Linked DNA regions of Stegostoma tigrinum. The protein of the gene in region 1 interacts with the protein of each later gene in a pairwise test. Links are inferred from orthologs where the notes say so. Each region holds a gene or a part of one and is shown on either strand. Other genes may lie near its edges.

Region 1 (10,270 bases):
GCATGAGGCCAGGCTCACAAAACAGTGCTCTACTTGGAACGTGGTTGCAGTAGGAGGTGCCAAAGGAGACTAGCAGAAACACTTGAGGGACACATTCAAACCACCCTGAAAAAAGACAAACATAACTGTTGAGTCATGGCAGAACCTGCTTCGTGACTAACCGAAATAAATATGGCATATTTGGTAGGGTACAGAAAACACTAATAGACTTTGTCAAGAGCATGTAGGGGCAAACCTGATGCATCAGTGACAGTGCAACAGCACTGATAATAACCCATCTACCCAAATTTTCAAGGACCACGGGCAGCAGAGATTTCAGATTGCACCTTGGACTTAGCAACCATCCTAAAAACTATCGAACAGAGGAAAAGCAATTCATCCTCAATCCAGAGAGACCAAGCAAAAGGCAGTGCTTAAACAAGATAATTCTGAGTCAACAGATCATACTCCATAAATCAATTGCATTTAATAATACACAGAATAACCTATTTGAGGGAGTTCAACACATGATAATCTCCCAGGCTTTTCCATGCTGAGAATCATTTTGTTGTAATGTTTAACTCTAGTATTGTATCGTAGCCTTCCTAATGAATATTGTCCTCAAGCTTAGCATTTGCAGATCTCTTTGCTTGCCATTTTGTCTGCAGAAATATCAAACAGGTTCTTACCCACGATTTATAATTTGAAGCGCAGCATATCAAATCACTTTGAACAGGCATTGAAAATTGAAAGTTATTCTGGAAATCAGGTGACAACGTACATCTTGAGTGAAAACAGAACTAGCATACAAAAAAAACTTTGATTATTATCTTACCATAAGATTATAAACAGGCATTGAAAATGAACAAAAACAGAACCATTGATAAGACAAAACAGACACTCAGACGGAGATCTGTTACATTCAGAAGTCTATAGTATATCAGCTTCTGAGCAAAGGAGTATTTATTTACGAAAATTTTAGAATTCATAACATCCTGCAAAAAAGTACCAATTGACTATTCAGTGTGGAAATTGTTATTTTAATCATTTTGTCACTTTTAAACAGATGTTGTTACTGTTTTCAATCTTTGTGATGCCCTGCAGCATGGATCTTGGCTCATTGCACTGATTTTCAATAAAAAAACACTCTAAACTGATTGCTAGCATAATTAAGTAGCACGCCTAAGTGATTGCAGTAAATTATTTTTCACTTGCTCTTTGAAATGATCACAGGCGTTAGTATTCTTGTTGTCTTGCACTGCAGTGTCTTGTTATGGCCTATGCACAATGGTTAAAATCAAGCTGCTAAAAATGAATCATGAATGAGAACACAGGATGATTACAGAACAGAAAGAAACCATTTGGCTTGTTGAGTCCATGCCAGTTCTCTGCAAGGCCAGTTTAGCTTGCCCAACTCCCCAATCTTTCCTGTAGCCTACAAACCTTCTTTTCCTGCGTAGAAAGTTTAAATGAGAAAAACAATTGAAATAAATTGTTAACCCATTGAAATATATGACAACTTGATTGAATGTCATAGCTTTAATCTGCTGAGCAAATCAAGATTTGGATGCACTGTTACAGAAGGGTTGGAAAAGTTAACTATTCAGAAAAGTTGCTGGTATACTGCTGTAGATATTGAAAAGCAAACAAGTGTCTCTTATTTTTGTGTTTGTGTGTAAGGTCGTCTTTCAATCATCCTTTTATGCACTTTGCATTGTTTTTACCACCACCAAATCAGCTATGTTTCTAATTAAATGACTAATTAATCAGCACATTATTATTTATAAAAAGTTCATCAATGAAATGAATGAACATTTTTTAAAAAAAAATGATTCTCAATAAATTTGGGTACTTTAGTTCACATGACAGTCTTGCTGCATTCTTGCCAAATGCACTGGAAACTCATGAACTCGTCATTCAACCCAGTTGCTGTTTGTAAATTGCCTATTAACAGCTTTGTTTTATATTATGCAGGATTTTCCTACTCGATATATTTTAACTCTGAAATACCATTTGTTAGTGAGACTATGAACATCCCGGATAGATCTTTTCTCCATTTGTTTATTTGAAGATAATCTTGATATTAAGGCAAGTACTCAGTCTCCAAGTTTAATAATGGACTTGCAACTATGTTGAGCCTTGTCACTTGCTCATAGAAGTTCACAAACAAAGAAATTATTTTTGATGTACAGATCTTATTTTATGGTAGCAAACAATTTTGTGCACAATACAGCAGCATTACCGACTGGCTCAAACGCTAGCCCAAAAACCTCACTGGAGTAGGATGAATAGTAGCCATTATGAGGTGAGTAAAAACATCAGAGATAATGGGAACCGCAGATGCTGGAGATTCCAAGATAATAAAATGTGAGGCTGGATGAACACAGCAGGCCAAGCAGCATCTCAGGAGCACAAAAGCTGACGTTTCGGGCCTAGACCCTTCATAAAAACATCAGTTGTTTTGAGTTGATGGCAGCCAGAAGGGTACTTTGAAGAATCACTAGTCTGACTTCTGTTAAAGACAATTATTTGAGTAATTATTATTTTAATGAAGATTCACTAGAGTTTGCATGAAATGTTTTAGAAATAGTTGTCAGGTAAATTGAAAGAATACATCTGTGTGGATGCTATAGACAAAGAAAATGTTCACTGTCAATACCCTTCAAAATACCTACACAGTCCAATTCCAATGGGCATGTCACTGGACAAACATTGGCTCACAGAAGAAACAGTTGTAATGTTGCTGTCTAACTTGAATCTTAAACAAAGACGGTCAAAGCTCAAGACTGACAATTATCAAGCTATTTTATTTGATGATAGACATTGAAGTTATAATTGGCAGATTGTAAACCTGCCTTTGCAACTCTGGAGAAAATACTTTTCAATATTCTTCCAAGTTCTATGATTAAACAAATTACTAGATCAGACTCTTGAAAAAATTGTATTTACAGTCCTTCACCTGTTCCTTGTGCATGGACAGCCAATCACTAACTGCTACTTAAGTGGGACAGAACTGAAGAATAGGGAAAGCATGCTAAACTTGCATTTTGCTGCAACATTACAAAAAGGATACCGACAAACTAAAAGGGCAAACAGCAGTTTTACAAGGAAGATACGAATCATGAAAGGGTTGAAATGTTGAGACACTCCCTTGTGAAAGAAACATTTTTAGTTTAGAAGTTTTTAGATTGATTAACTGTTTTTATAAAGTGGATTCAGACAGAATCTTTCATTTTTTAGAGGCCATCAAAAATATTGTCACCAAGAAATCCAATAGGAATTCAGAAGAAACTTCTTTGTGAAATGAGTAGTGAGAATGTGGAACTCAGACCACAAAGTGTAGATGAAGTGAAAAATATGCATTCATTTCAAGAGAACCGAGACAAGCATATCAGGGTTAGGGAATAGAGATTTACAATAATAGATTTTGATGAGGAAACATTTGGGGAAGGCACAAGTGCAGCATAAACACTTGCATGAACCCATTGGTCCAATTAATCGTAAGTCAGTACCAAGAAGCTTTAGGTTGTTTTTTCATACCTAGAAATTTTGATTCTGTTAAAGTCTTTAGTGATGAAAATCCTACTTTTAAAGAAATGCTATTGCGACAAAGATAATAATTTGACTGCAAATGGTAATATGATGAACCTGCTAATTTTCCATGGCTGTACTATTTGCACACCGCACAACATATTGGGAAGTCTTGACTCAACAATAATGTAGTTACTGTGATGTTTCATTACGATTCCACTACTCTATTGTAAATGGTTAGTTGCACATTTCTCTTGTGCTGGTTTACTGTAAAATGCACTGGGTGCACTGAGGGCTGTCTTTATACAAATGTGTTAGCAACCAGCAAATTGTCCTTGGATGTCACAGATCAGGTTGTAGACTGACCTCGGGAATTCCTCAGATGTGTGCCAGATGTGTGTGTGACATCTACACAGGTACCATCATATTTGCCAGTAGGTTACACCTTCTCTGACAGAGTTGGATATAAATGGCTAGATTTTTCAGCTGATATTGCAATACAAGTAAAGGAAGAGCAAAGAAAGAACAAATCTTATTACCTGGGGGCAAATTAACCCTTATAATTTAATATGTTTGATATTTACACCCACAGGAGATGGGGTTAACTTCACATATCCGAGTTTGGTTAATCTGCAAGTTATGTGTCCTAATGCTAAACAGGAAAGTACGATGGACTGTAGGTAATTTACGGCCATTAACAAGTGTTTACTTTGCCAAACACAACAGTTTTGCCCATAACAAACAGTATCAACCACAATTCACTTTATTTTACACTATCTTTAGTGAAGCTGTTGTCAAGTTCCATTTTTAACCATACTTCTGGAAAGTACGTTGTTGGAGTTTTTGCTTTCAATCTTTTTTTTGCACTAACTTTATTGCTCCCTACAGGCCAGCCAGGGAACAGCAAGTACAACAATTATGTCAGTTATAACAACGTGTCTTGGGTGTGTATTGCTGCAGGTTTCTTATGGGAATGGACTAGTATCTGCCTAGTTCTGAAGAGTTCTGTAGCGCACTGCACTTATTGTGAGCTCCGAAACTTGCATCTACCTCATCCCGCCTCGTTCATGGAGACAGGCACAATTGTTCAAGGTCGTGCACAGCAGTTGGCACCTGCTGGTCATGTTGCTGCAGGGATTCCTCTTATGGATGTAGTATAATGATTCTTTATTCGCATGCCCTTCCAAAATGGGTATGAATTACCCAGTAAAGGAAATCACAAAAACAGCTGCATTCATAATAGGTAGATTATCTACATAAAATTCTTCCTGATAAAGTCATCCCTTCAGTGGGCGTGGATGGGCTGGCATTACCAGTAGGGAGTGCTCCTTCCTAAAATTCAGTGCAGATAGGCTAGTGTTATCTACACAGGCTTCCCTCCCTACAGTAGAACATAGAACATTACAGCACAGTACAGGCCCTTCGGCCCTCGATGTTGTGCCGACCTGTCATACCGATCTCAAGCCCATCTAACCTACATTATTCCATGTACGTCCATATGCTTATCCAACGACGACTTAAATGTACCTAAAGTTGGCGAATCTACTACCGTTGCAGGCAAAGCGTTCCATTCCCTTACTACTCTGGGTAAAGAAACTCCCTCTGACATCTGTCCTATATCTGACACCCCTCAATTTAAAGCTGTGCCCCCTCGTGCTCGCCGTCACCATCCTAGGAAAAAATGTAGCTGTGTAAAGGCAGGCGTTACATATATGGGATATCCTTTTCCCCAGTTGGACATTACTGGGCTGCTGTTAATGTAGGGACCATCTCTGCTTGAATTGCCTGTTGAGTCTCTCACTACAACTGGCTGTGGATGGGCTGGTGTGACTTTTAGGGAATGTCCTTGCTGGCTGTTATCTATAGGAAGTGTCTCTGCTAACGTTACCTTCAGGGAGTGTCCTTGCGAGCATTACATGTAGGCAGCGTCCCTTCCGGTGTTACCTGTAGTATTTCTCCTACAGTTGGCTGTGAATGGGCTGCTGTGACCTGTATAGGGTGTGTCCCTCGCCGTCACGTCCAGGAGTGAGTCCCAGTGACTGGCCTGCGCTAGTGGGCCGGTGTCCTCGCCCCGCCCACAGCTTCGCGCGCGCGCAGCCCACCTGTGAAGAGGAGCGCGCGCGATGACGGTTGGGGTGTGTGCGCGTTTCCGCGCGGGGGGCGGGGCCCACCCGAACAACGTCGGGGGCGCGCAGGAATCACCTCCTCTTACCGCCGCCTCCAACCCCCGCCTGCCTGTTCCAGACATGGCGGATTACAGGTCCGAGTGGCTCCGGCTGCCGAGTTTCTGGTCGCATGGGGTCACCCGGGACGGACGGATCTTCTTCATCGAGTGAGTACCGGAGGCAGCTGGGCTTTGGCGGATACGGAAAGCTGACATTTGAGTTTATAACTACACTCACCGTGTCTTCTCTCTCTCTCTCTCACATACACACAGTGAAGAAGCGCACAGAACAACCTGGTTACATCCAGCGACCGGCGAGGCCGTCATCAGCGGACACCGCAAAACACCAGGTGGGGAGGTGGAGAGGCAAACCGAACCCCCGCCCCCCCCGCCCCGAACTCAACCTCCGGGACCGGGGCTGGAGAGGACACATCTCCCCACACTCCGACCCCCATCTCCATCCTCGGCACCGCATTCACCCCGACCGTATCCGCACTCCGAGCCCGATACCCGCCTCCACACCCCCCGGATCCCCAGCTCTCCCCCCGGATCCCCAGCTTCCCCCCGCGGATCCCCAGCTTCCCCCCCGGGATCCCCACCTCCCCCCCCTCCCCCCCCTCCCCCCCCGGATCCCCACCTCCCCCCCCTCCCCCCCCTCCCCCCCCGGATCCCCACCTCCACACTCTCTCTCCTCCCCCCCCCGGATCCCCACCTCCACACTCTCTCTCCCACCCCCCCCCCCCGGATCCCCACCGCCTCTCTCTCTCTCTCTCTCCCTCCCTCCCCCCGGATCCCCACCGTCTCTCTCTCTCCCTCCCCCCGGATCCCCACCGTCTCTCTCTCTCCCTCCCCCCGGATCCCCACCGTCTCTCTCTCTCCCTCCCCCCGGATCCCCACCGTCTCTCTCTCTCCCTCCCCCCGGATCCCCACCGTCTCTCTCTCTCTCCCTCCCTCCCCCCGGATCCCCACCGCCTCTCTCTCCCTCCCTCCCCGGATCCCCACCTCCTCTCTCTCCCTCCCTCCCCGGATCCCCACCTCCTCTCTCTCTCTCTCTCCCTCCCCGGATCCCCACCTCCTCTCTCTCTCTCCCTCCCCGGATCCCCACCTCCTCTCTCTCTCTCCCTCCCTCCCTCCCCGGATCCCCACCTCCTCTCTCTCCCTCCCTCCCTCCCTCCCCGGATCCCCACCTCCTCTCCTCTCCCTCCCTCCCCGGATCCCCTCCTCTCTCTCTCTCTCCCTCCCTCCCTCCCTCCCTCCCTCCCCGGATCCCCACCTCCTCTCTCTCTCTCCCTCCCTCCCCGGATCCCCACCTCCTCTCTCTCTCTCCCTCTCTCCCTCCCTCCCTCCCTCCCCGGATCCCCACCTCCTCTCTCTCTCTCTCTCTCTCCCTCCCTCCCTCCCCGGATCCCCACCTCCTCTCTCTCTCTCTCTCTCTCTCTCCCTCCCTCCCTCCCCGGATCCCCACCTCCTCTCTCTCCCCGGATCCCCACCTCCTCTCTCTCCCTCCCTCCCTCCCTCCCCGGATCCCCACCTCCTCTCTCTCTCTCTCCCTCCCTCCCTCCCTCCCCGGATCCCCACCTCCCCTCTCTCTCTCTCTCTCTCTCCCTCCCCGGATCCCCACCTCCTCTCTCTCCCTCCCTCCCCGGATCCCCACCTCCTCTCTCTCCCTCCCTCCCCGGATCCCCACCTCCTCTCTCTCCCTCCCTCCCCGGATCCCCACCTCCTCTCTCTCTCTCCCTCCCCGGATCCCCACCTCCTCTCTCTCTCTCCCTCCCCGGATCCCCACCTCCTCTCTCTCCCTCCCTCCCCGGATCCCCACCTCCTCTCTCTCCCTCCCTCCCCGGATCCCCACCTCCTCTCTCTCCCTCCCTCCCCGGATCCCCACCTCCTCTCTCTCCCTCCCTCCCCGGATCCCCACCTCCTCTCTCTCCCTCCCTCCCCGGATCCCCACCTCCCCTCTCTCTCTCTCTCTCTCTCTCTCTCCCTCCCCGGATCCCCACCTCCCCTCTCTCTCTCTCTCTCTCTCTCTCTCTCTCTCTCCCTCCCTCCCCGGATCCCCACCTCCTCTCTCTCTCTCTCTCTCTCTCTCTCTCTCTCTCTCCCTCCCTCCCCCCCTCCCCGGATCCCCACCTCCTCTCTCTCTCCCTCCCCGGATCCCCACCTTCCTTCCCCCCCCCCCCACTCCCTCCCCCCCTCCCCGGATCCCCACCTCCTCTCTCTCTCCCTCCCCGGATCCCCACCTTCCTTCCCCCCCCCCCACTCCCTCTTTCTCCACTCTCTCCCCCCAATATCCCCACTCCCCCCCCCCCCGATCCCTAGCACCGTCCCCCCCCCGATCCCTAGCACCGTCCCCCCCGATCCCTAGCACCGTTCCCCCCCCGATCCCTAGCACCGTTTCCCCCCCCCGATCCCCAGCACCGTTTCCCCCCCCCGATCCCCAGCACCGTTTCCCCCCCCCCGATCCCCATCTCCCCCCCCCGATCCCCATCTCCGTCCCCCCCCCGATCCCCATCTCCGTCCCCCCCCGATCCCCATCTCCGTCCCCCCCCCCCGATCCCCATCTCCGTCCCCCCCCCCATCCCCATCTCCGTCCCCCCCCCCGATCCCCATCTCCGTCCCCCCCCCCCGATCCCCATCTCCGTCCCCCCCCATCCCCATCTCCGTCCCCCCCCCATCCCCATCTCCGTCCCCCCCCCCCCGATCCCCATCTCCGTCCCCCCCCCCCGATCCCCATCTCCGTCCCCCCCCCCCGATCCCCATCTCCGTCCCCCCCCCCCGATCCCCATCTCCGTCCCCCCCCCCCGATCCCCATCTCCAACCCAATCCCCATCTCCAACCCAATCCCCACATCTTCACTTAAAGCCTGCACCAACCCCCACGACAACCCTGACTCCCATCCCCAACTGTCCTGTCCCATCCCAACCCCTATCCACACATCTCTCTCAACCTTGCCACCTGCCCCCATCCCCATCAGCACATCCCTCTGCCCTCTCACCCCATCCCACCCACAAATCCCTCTCCCCGCTCACCTCGGACCTTCAATCCCCCATTCTTACCTTTTTCCCACTTCCCTGTCTTCACCACCACATCCTGACCCTCCCATCCCCAAATCACATCTCCTCCAACCACATCTCTCCATCTGCGATAATGGGAACTGCAGATGCTGGAGAATCCGAGATAACAAAGTGTGGAGCTGGCTGAACACAGCAGGCCAAGCAGCAGCTTAGGAGTACAAAAGCTGACGTTTCGGGCCTAGACCCTTCCCTTTCTATCTATCTGTCTGTCTGTCTGTCTTCAAGAACGCCCGCCCCCCGCCAGTCACTTCTTGGACATCCCACCTCCAGCTCATTACACCTGCTTCTTCTCTTCCCCCATTTTATTTCCCCCACATCTCTCTGTCCCCCACGTCTGTCTCTCACCCCGAGTCCACATATTTCTCTTAACCCCCTCATCTCGAGCGCTTAATTGCCATTGGAGAAGGATTGGGGAGAGGCAGACTATATGTTCACTACTTGGTCTTCTTAAGTTTTTCCGTCTTTGTTTTCCGCACGGCAGACCTCCCAACCGGTTGGGAAGAAGGATACACCTTCGAAGGGGCTCGATACTACATTAAGTGAGTAACGCAAGAATAGGTTTATGATCCATTGACTTTGTGACGGGCTTTATGCAATCTCTGATAGCTCAGACCATCTTGTACGTACGTTTGTGTGGTCTTTCCAATTGGATACGAGTTTTGTTGGTTGTGTTTGCGACTCTTACGAAGTGTGCCATTTTTAAAAAAAGTTGCAAAGCGTGGATTATGCGTTTGGTGTGAGGTGGGCGTGTCGCATCAGTTTGATTTCGACATCGGTTCCAACAATGCTTTCATTCAAAACTGACGCTAAAACGTCAGACGGAATTTAAACTTGCAGCCAGTCGTTATTCTCAGCCAGGTTTCTAGTGGTTTGTTTACTAGCGGTGACGTGTTCGATTCGGTCATTCTAATTCGGTGATACAGCAACGAACCAACTTTTACCCTTGTTTCATTTCTTCGTTTTAATGCGATCAGTGTTGTTACAATCATTTGTGAAAGAATGGTATTTTTTGTTGTGGGAAAGGGAAGAAAGAGAAAGAAAGCTGGTGTCATCCCTTTTTAGGTATCGATCTATAATTTGCAAATTGTAAGCGCTTGCTACAGATTCTGTGCTTCTAGTGAAGTGACTGTTTGTTTGTTTATTTCTTCGCGTTATCAAGGAAAATCCAAAAAAGAACGTTTGAAAATTGTGACTTATTAAATCAAACTGAGTATGTGCTTAATAGGAATAATTATTTTAATACTGCTCCTCAACTAAGTTGTAGCATCTGTGGTGATTGACCTTTTAAGAGGTAAGTCATGTTAGTAGGTAGTAAATGCTCTACCTTGTGATATAAGTGTGACACACTGTGTGGAAGCCTTCTGATAATTCTATACATAGATCTTAATGATACAGGCAGTTTTATTTTCATACTTAGGCAGCAGAATTCTCAATGGAAAGAAATGTACCTGCCGTTATTATTGATTTCCCATCATGTGAAGTGATTGTTTTTATAGATTATTCGGATTGAGGTCTTACTGAA
Region 2 (9,752 bases), on another chromosome or scaffold:
CAGCGGTACGGAGTGAGCGGTTGGCCGTCCTGCAGCGGCTTCCACCCCTGCTGGCTACGTCCCAGGCCGGTCATCCTAGGCAGAGACTTCAACTGCATCATTGATGCAGATGGAAGATCCGGCGTGGGGACAGCGGGTGGGGGGAGTCAACTGGACATCACGTCCAGATTCCCGATGGGCACGGTGAAGGGCGCCAAGCTGCTCGACGTCTTCAGCACCCCTGCAGACAGAGCGCAGCAGAGGTACACCTGGTCGCGGCCAGACGGGTCTATCCGCTCAAGGATAGACTTCCTGTTTGTGTCACGGACATTCTCGGTCAGGCCCACCGGCGTCGAGCCGGTGTTCTTCTCTGACCACTCCCTCCTGCTGGCCGACTGTCACCTACAGGACGACCAGCCGGCAGGCAAGGGGACGTGGAAGCTCAACACGACTCTGTTGACCCCAGAGAACGTCGAGGAGCTTAAGAGGGAGTACGCCGGTTGGAGAACCGTGAAATCCCTCTGAGTGTCCAGGCGACTGGTGGGAGACGGTGAAGGAGAACATCAAGAGGTTCTTTGCCCTCAAGGGTGTTCAGAAGGCAAGAGAGAGGCGGGGAAAGCTGTCGCAACTCCAGAAAAGGGTGCAGAACCTGCTCCTTCTGCAGTTGATGGGGGTCGATGTCACGGAGGACCTCCGCGAGGTGAGGGGCCAGCAAGCCTCGCTCTTCGCCGCGGAGGCCTCCAGGATAATCTTCCGGTCCAGGGACCGCTCCGTGGAGCAGGACAAGACATGCTTGCGTTTCTTCTTTCAGAAGGTGCACAAAGAGAGCTCTGTGCTTAGCCGGCTGAAGGAGGATGACGGCTCGGTGACGTCGTCGCAGCCCGACATTTTGAGGATCAGCAGATCCTTCTATGCCGGACTGTACGACACGAAGCCCACGGACAGCACGGCCTCCGAGTCGTTCCTGTCGTCTATCACGGAGGTCTTGGACGACGGCACGAGGGAGTGGCTGGACCGGTCGATATCCCTGGACAAGCTGGTCAGAGCCCTCAAGTCCTTGGGGAGGAATAGGACTCCCGGAAGCGATGGCTTACCGGTCGAGCTGTATTCCGCTCTGTGGGGCCTGGTCGGCCAAGACCTGCTGGAGGTGTACGATAGCGCGCTTCGGGCAGGGGAAATGTGCAAGTCCATGAGGAAGGGCATCATCACCCTCATTTACACGAGGAAGGGGGAGAGGGAAGAAATTAAGAATTGGCGTCCCATTTCATTATTGAACGTGGACTACAAAATCCTGGCCAAGGTCATAGCCAACCGGGTCAGGTCTGTCCTAGAGTCAGTGATTCACCCTGACCAAACCTGTGCTGTGCCAGGCAGGAAGATTGCTGAGAGCCTCGCGCTCATCAGGGATACGATCGCCTACGTACAGGACAGGCGGGTGGACACCTGCCTCGTCAGCCTGGACCAGGAGAAGGCCTTCGACAGGGTCTCTCATGCTTACATGAGGGACGTCCTCTCCAAATTGGGGTTCGGGAGGGCATCCGCAATTGGATCCGGCTGCTCTACGCCAACATCGTTAGCGCAGTCTCGATCAACGGGTGGGAATCAGACAGTTTTCCTGTTAGATCTGGAGTCAGGCAGGGCTGCCCGCTCTCTCCTGCCTTGTTCGTGTGCTGTGTGGAGCCCTTCGCCGCCTCCATCAGGAAAGACGTGAGCCTGAAGGGCGTGACTATCCCAGGCAGCGGAGGCCTTCAGGTCAAGACCTCCCTGTACATGGACGATGTCGCCGTCTTCTGCACCGATTGTCGGTCAGTGAGTAGACTGGACATCTGCGGCCAGTTTGAACTGGCCTCGGGTGCCAAAGTCAATAGGGGTAAGAGCAAGGTCATGTTCTTTGGGAACTGGGACGACCGCTCCTTCATCCCCTTCACCGTCAGGACAGACTACCTGAAGGTGCTGGGTGTTTGGTTTGGTGGAGCTGGGGCGTGCACTAAGACTTGGGAGGAGCGTATCACCAAATTGAAGCAGAAGCTGGGCAGGTGGACGCTCCGGTCCCCCTCCATCGCGGGTAAGAACCTGGTTGTCAGGTGCGAGGGGCTTTCGGTACTGTTGTATGTGGCGCAGGCCTGGCCTATTCCCTGGACCTGCGCCGCTGCAGTCACCCGGGCCATCTTCCACTTCATTTGGGGGTCGAGGATGGACCGGGTCCACAGGGACACCATGTACAAAGACCTGGGAAATGGGGGAAAGGGCGTACCGAACGCCACCCTCGCCCTGACGGCTACCTTTGTGTGCGGCTGCATCAAGCTGTGCGTAGATCCTCAGTACGCAAACACCAAGTGTCACTACTTACTGAGGTTCTACCTGTCCCCAGTGTTGCGAAGGATGGGCCTGGCCTCGTTGCCGCGGAACGCTCTGAGTAGTTGGACCGTTCCGTACCACCTGTCCTTCATGGAGAAATTTTTGAAAGGAAACACCTTTGACCGCAAGGCCGTCAGGCAGTGGTCAGCACGTCGTATCCTCGGGACCCTTCGGGAAAAGGAGAGGGTGGATCCCGTCGTGTGGTTCCCCACGCAGACTGCTAAAGTCGTTTGGCAGAATGCCTCATCGCCAGAACTTTCAAACAAGCACAAGGACATTGCTCGGCTGGCGGTGAGAGGGGCTCTGCCAGTGAGATCCTTTATGCATGCCCGGAATCTCTGCACCACCGCACGCTGCCCTCGAGGTGGCTGCGGGGGGGACGAGACTGTCGATCACCTCCTTCTGGAGTGTGCCTATGCGCAGGAGGTCTGGAGGGGGATGCAGTGGTATTTGTCGAGGTTCGTCCCGAGCAGCTCCGTGACGCGGGACTCCGTGCTTTTTAGGGCTGTTTCCGGGGACGCACACCGAGACCAACATCAACTGCGCCTGGAGGACCATCAATGCGGTGAAAGACGCTCTTTGGTCTGCCCGCAACTTACTGGTCTGCCAGCTGAAAGAACTGACCCTGACCGAGTGTTGCAGACTGGCGCACTCCAAGGTCCAGGACTTCGTGCTGAGGGGCGTGCTAAAGCTTGGGGCAGCCGCCGCCAAGGTGCGGTGGGGAAAGACCACGGTATGAAACCCCTCGTCCAGAATAGGAAAAAGAACCCTATCTTGTAACTGGGCCTAGCTGGCGCCTTCTCCAACTGGTCAGGGGGCCAACTGGGACTGTGCGGGGTGACGACTGCCAGGGTGGTTTCTTTGCTTTGTTTTTTGTTTCCTCTGTTTTGTTTTTTCCTTTTAGTTGGTGTACGTACCCCCGGGTAACCCGGAGTGGCTTGCATGACTGGGTAGGTGTATAAATGTTTTTTTTTGTACATTCTATGAATAAAGTATATTTTTTTAAATTTAAAAAAAAGTGACGAAATGTCTGAAAACGAACCTTCCAGCTCAGCGCGCAAACTCACATCCACAATAACTGCTCTGTTAGTCTACCCTCAATCTGGTTCAAAGTGGAGGCAGAGAACAGGGCTACACTATTATAGGAAAGATGTGGATGCTTTGGAGAGGGTTCAGAGGAGGTTTACCAGGATGCTGCCTGGACTGGAGGGCTTATCTTATGAAGAGAGGTTGACTGAGCTCGGTCTCTTTTCATTGGAGAAAAGGAGGAGGAGAGGGGACCTAATTGAGGTATACAAGATAATGAGAGGCATAGATAGAGTTGATAGCCAGAGACTATTTCCCAGGGCAGAAATGGCTAGCACGAGGGGTCATAGTTTTAAGCTGGTTGGTGGAAAGTATAGAGGGGATGTCAGAGGCAGGTTCTTTACGCAGAGAGTTGTGAGAGCATGGAATGCGTTGCCGGCAGCAGTTGTGGAAGCAAGGTCATTGGGGTCATTTAAGAGACTGCTGGACATGTATATGGTCACAGAAATTTGAGGGTGCATACATGAGGATCAATGGTTGGCACAACATTGTGGGCTGAAGGGCCTGTTCTGTGCTGTACTGTTCTATGTTCTATGTGATCTCTTGTCTGAAGCCACTTTCTTTCTTTGTCTTGTTTTTGTTTCCACTCTTTTCTTTTGCTACCATACCAGTGCTGCCAACCAATGTGCCATGGTGGGGGGTGGGGGAAGCATAACAAGGTACATGTGAAGTAGTGGATGTGACTTCTGGCAATAGTTGGTGACATTGAGAACATTCTCCCAGGTGCTCAGAGACAGCAAGGATATTCCCTTGTAACAGAAGGCCAGGGGCAGTGAGTCACTTCTGTCAGCATTCAGGGCCTACGGCAGCAAATCCGTGTGTGTGTGTGTGTGAGAGAGAGAGAGAGAGAGAGATGCTAGCAGCAGTGACCCTGCTAGTGTGCCATCTTGAAATGTGACATCAGGTAAAGTGGGACTTGTAGCCTGACAATGGTGCAAGGTGGTCATGGTTGCAGCGTGAATGTGGGTTAAGTAGGCCCAGTGACAAAGATATGGTGTCTAAAGTGGGGTAACTCCTAGGGTGCTGGTGCTGGGTCTGGCACAGGTTGTGACGAAGGAAGTGATCTCCCTGACAGGTACAGGGTTGGAAAGACTGATATATTCTTAATTTTTTCCTCTGAGTAGAAGGAAGAAAAAAATTAAGAAAAGAAATAATGCTAGACTATTCGTTTTTACTTTTTTTGTTTCCTCTGCGTTTCATCTTAACTATCTGTACTAAAGATGGTGCTGCGAGGCAGCGACTATAAACTTTTCACTACTCATTTAAGTAGTTGTGACAATAAAGCTAATTCAGTTATCAGTAAAATGATAATAAAATGTGAGGCTGGATGAACACAGCAGGCCAAGCAGCATCTCAGGAGCACAAAAGCTGACGTTTCGGGCCTAGACCCTTCATCAGACCCTCTCTGATGAAGGGTCTAGGCCCGAAACGTCAGCTTTTGTGCTCCTGAGATGCTGCTTGGCCTGCTGTGTTCATCCAGCCTCACATTTTATTATCTTGGAATCTCCAGCATCTGCAGTTCCCATTATCTCTGATCAGTAAAATGATGGCAGGTGTTGTCAATAGTGCTGATAAACAGAACTGTGGCCATGAGACCACGTGCCGTGTGAAGTGGCAGTCAATGGAAAGCTTGACAATATTGATGGAAGACTAATATTGTCCACAACAAGCCGGTCGATCCAGGCCCCGCCCCCACACTCAGGCCCCGCCTCCATTCCCTGTATTTTGGTGAAACCGTCACCGCCGAGGTCAAATTGTAGTCACGTGATTAACGGCCGGCTGTGGGTCACTGCGGGTCCTGCACGGAGTGGCGGGGGTATCCCGAGGTAACGGTTAGTTTGTCGTGGCTGTCCTGGTCCTTTTCAGGCTGTGGTCAGCCTCCTGCCCGGAATGATGTTGATCTGAGCTCCAGGCCTTGTTTCCCAGAAATTCGGAAAAAAGTTGCGTTTCGGGAAATTTCCTTTTCGATTCCCGCCTCTTTGCCTTGTTTAGTGCTTTATAAACAAACCCGCGGCGTTACTATGTTTATGTGGCCAGCCCCACTCAGCTTGGAAGATAGGTCATACCCCTCTCGGTATTTCTGATAACTGGCATTAAAGTAAATTTAAATTGCTGCACTTTAACAGGCTGCGGCCTGTGTGCTAGCCGGATTTCTACGCAGATTTTATTTTAAAAAACAAATCGTGGAAACGCTTGCGGCTGTAGAGGGGACAGATTATGCTACTCCTCGGACGTTTTCTGCTGACGAAAATTGAATGTGTACAATAAATTCGAAGAAAGGAAATAGATATTTTAAACGTCAAATTGCTGAAACATCAACTAAAGAACCTGGAATGTGGCGCTTGCAGGAGAAGAAGTAATTCTTTGCTCACTTTGGCTAATTTTAGAATAGGATGTGACATTAAAAGGCCAGGCAACTGACTAAAAATAGTAAATGTAGGTGAGCACAATAAAGGCATAACAGTAGAAATCGAAAGAACTGCAGCTGCTGTAAATCTGAAACAAAAACAGAAATTACTGGAAAAGCTTGGCAGATCTGGCAGCATTTGTGGAGAGAAGTCAGAGTTAATGTTTTGAGTCTGGTGACCCTCAGGACAGAGGGATTTGATGTACACTCTACTGTTTAAGATTTACAGCTTCTGTACTTTTCTTTTGTGTTAATTCATTATTGTTTACCGTTTTGCTATTGATGGAGGGATTACAATGCCAATTAATTTCATAAGAAACTCCTGTGGTTCCTCGACAAAGGAAGTAGGAACAGTAGACTGACCTCTAGCCTACTGCACCATTCAATAGGATTATGGCTGCTCTAACATTCATCACGTCCATGTTCCTGTGTTTTCTCTAAGTGCTTGATTTCCCTACTGATCAAGATCTTAGTCTTAAAACACATGTTAGGACAATGCCCCCACAGCTCTCTGTGGCAAGGATATCCAAAGACACACAGTCCTCTGAGTGAAAAAAGTTCCTCCTCATCCCAGTCTTAATTGATGTTCCTTTATTCTGAGACAATGCACTTTGGTCCCATCTCTCCCATGGAGGACAGTATCCTCTCAGCATTTACCCTGTCAAGTTCCTTTAGAATCCTGGATATTTTATTTTCTGAGTCTTCCAACAAACATTAATCTTCAGATTGTTTTCTCAACATCCTGGAGTTTCTTTAGCATGGAAAACTCAGATCAAAAATGTGAAAGACTGTGAGATAACAAGTTGTAGAGCTGGATGAACACAGCAGGACAAGCAGCAGCTTAGGAGCAGGAAAGCTGATGTTTTGGGCCTAGACCCTTCATCAGAAATGAGGGAGGGGAAGAGGGTTCTGAAATAAATAGGAAGAGAGGGGGGAGGCAGATTGAAGATGGAGTGAGGAGAAGATAGGTGGAGAGGAGACACAAGTCAAACAGGTGAGGATGGAGCCAGTAAAGGTGAGTGTAGGTGGGGAGGTAGGGAGGAGATAGGTTAGTAGGTAGGAAATGGGGGTGCAGCTTGAGGGGGAGAAGGGGATGGGTGAGAGGAAGAACAGGTTAGGGAGGTGGGGACGAGCTGGGCTGGTTTTGGGATGTGGTAGGGGGAGGAGAGATTTTGAAGCTTGTGAAATCCACATTGATACCATTGGGCTGCAGGGCTCCCAAGTGGAATATGAGTTGCTGTTCCTGCAACCTTCGGGTGGCATCGTTGTGGCACTGCAGGAGGCCCAGGATGGACATGTCATCGGAGGAATGGGAGGGGGAGTTGAAATGGTTCGCAACTGGGATGTACAGTTGTTTATTGCGAACCGAGCGTAGGTGTTCTGCAAAGCAGTCCCCAAGCATCCGCTTGGTTTCCCCGATGTAGAGGAGGCCATAACGGGTACAGCAGATGCAGTATACCACGTAAGCAGATGTGCAGGTGAACATCTGCTTGATGTGGAAGGTCTTCTTGGGGTCTGAGATGGGTGTGAGGAAGGAGGTGTGGGAGCAGGTGTAGCACTTCCTGCGGTTGCAGGGAAAAATGCTGAGTGTGGTAGGGCTGGAGGGGAGTGTGGAGCGGACAAGGGAGTCACCTGAGAAAGTGGTCCCTTCGGAAAGCAGACAAGGGTGGGGAGGGAAAAATGTCTTTGGTGGTGGGGTCAGATTGCAGATGGCGGAAATGTCGGAGGATGATGTGTTAGATCCCGACGTTGGTGGGGTGGTATGTGAGGACGAGGGGGATTCTTTTTTAGATTGTTATTGCGGGGACGGGGTGTGAGGGATCAGTTGTGGGAAATGCGGGAGACATGGTTGAGGGCATTCTCGAACACTGCGGGTGGGAAGTTGCAGTCCTTGAAAAATGAGGACATCTGAGATGTGCGGGAGTGGAATGCCTCATCCTGGGAGCAGATGCGGCAGAAGCGAAGGATTGGGAATAGCGGATGGCATTTTTGCAGGAAGGTGGGTGGGAGGAGGTGTATTCTAGGTGGATGTGGGAGTCGGTGGGCTTGAAATGGATATTGGTTTCTTGGTAGTTGCTCGAGCTGGAGACAGACATGTCCAGGAAGGTGAGGGAGTTGCTAGAGATAGTCCAGGTGTGACTTTTGTGGGATGGAGGTCATTGGTATATGTTGAAGAGAGCTGATTTGAGGACTGATCCTTGTGGGAGCATGTGCAGTTATGTGTGGGAAGCTGATTTGATTCGAAGTTTCACATGGAACTGCCTGATCAGGTAGGTGATTAGTTAGAATCCCTATAATGTGGAAGCAGGCTATTCGCCTATCAGATCTACACCAACTCTCCGAAGAGGAGGATCCTACCCAGGCCCCCAACCTGGTAACCCGGCGTTTCCCATGGCCAATTCACTTGGCCTGTATGCTTTGGAGCAATTTAGCCTGGGCAATTCTCCTAACTTGTACATATTTAGATTGTGGGAGGAAGCCCATGCATACATGGCGAACATGCACACTGCATACAGGCAGTCGCCCAAGGGTGAAATTGAAGCCAGGCCCCTGGTGGTGTGAGGCAGCAGTGCTAATCAGTGAGCCATCATGCTGCCCCAAGAGATGCCAGGAGGATGGAAGTAGCTGTAAGGTTTTGGGGAGTTTCAGTAGTCTACCTGTGCCCTGCACTGTCATTGGCACAAGATAACTCACTAAAAACTATTCCTGTCTTCAATCACATCACAAGTGAAGTCTCAGGTATCAATTTTCAAAGAAAATTTGAATAAACTTCAACTGTTTGAGAATGGTCCAGAGAAAATATGGCCACCTACAGCACAAATGAAACAAGGGAAAAGCTCAACTATGGACATCCAAATCAGACTATTGTGCACACACTGAACACCTTCCTTGCGAGATCATTCCTAGTGGCCTCACAGGTATTCATGATGCACTACCTGAAGTCATTGAATTGATTGGTAACCTCAATATCAAACCATAACTGTTTGCCCAGACAAGCAGAAAGGAAATAAAGTAGGGTTATGAAATTCACTTGGCATACTAAGTGCTCAAACAAGGAAATGGAAAATTGAGCAGAATTTGGATGGGCATTTGTCGTTAGGTATCGATTTTGTTCAAATGGTTGCATGGCTGGTTTGTAATGCAGAGTGATACAGATCACATGGGGTTCAATTCGTCCACCAGGTTACGATGGAAGCCTCCTTCTTAGCCTCTCCACTTGCCTGAGACGTGGCAGCCCTCAAATCAAACAATCACTAGTTGTCTCTTTCTGGTGAGAGAACAGCCCTTTAGTCTGGTATGATTGTGGCAACTTTACTTTCAAGTTCTCTCCAGGAAGAACACCACAATTTCTCCAAACTATCCTTGTAACTGAAATACCTCAGCCATTGTTATAAATGTTTTCTGCACTCTCCAATGCATTCAAATCTTTACTACAGCTCAGAACAGTACATGATAGTCTAGTTGAGGTCTAACATTTGGTTTATGCAAGTTCAGCATAACCTCCTTGCTCTTTTGCTCTGTCCGTATTAATAAAGCTCAAGGTACTGTGTCAGTGGGAATTATAAGCTTAGCTCAACCCAGCCCAGCTTTCTGGATAAACCATAAGGTGCCTAATTACACCCAAGTTGAAGGAAGTCTAATTTCTTTGCACTTCTATTTTGAATATTATTGATTTACAATTGTTCAAAGGATCAAATAGAATCAAATCAGTAAGAATACTAGTTGGACAATAGTAAATGCACTTGAGTTGCTCATTCTGGCGCTACACCTCAAAATATGTACAGATAATTTTGCGATAATGTGGCTAGGGATATTTTGCACTCCTTTGGTATGTCAAATTTTACACTGTGCAGGATTCACAGGAAAAAAAAGGAGGCAAATGGATGACCAGCTTCCTTATGACTTTGGTTGTTGTTTTCAA

The links.
Region 2: the proteins of plekha5 (region 1) and pdzd11 interact in binary tests that used the Homo sapiens proteins (3 or more experiments, as listed by UniProt). The two-hybrid records come from large-scale screens. The link is inferred for Stegostoma tigrinum from reciprocal best matches to the Homo sapiens genes PLEKHA5 and PDZD11.

The regions. Positions count from the first base shown.
Region 1 is NC_081378.1:44,335,593-44,345,862, forward strand, and holds the start of plekha5 (pleckstrin homology domain-containing family A member 5), read left to right. Parts: upstream 1-5,756; coding exon 5,757-5,842; exon of another isoform or gene 5,843-5,947; coding exon 5,948-6,024; exon of another isoform or gene 6,025-6,153; intron 6,154-8,489; exon of another isoform or gene 8,490-8,903; intron 8,904-9,229; coding exon 9,230-9,287; intron 9,288-10,270.
Region 2 is NC_081368.1:38,278,155-38,287,906, reverse strand, and holds the start of pdzd11 (PDZ domain-containing protein 11), read left to right. Parts: upstream 1-5,135; 5' UTR 5,136-5,255; intron 5,256-9,752. UniProt on the Homo sapiens protein: Mediates docking of ADAM10 to zonula adherens by interacting with PLEKHA7 which is required for PLEKHA7 to interact with the ADAM10-binding protein TSPAN33.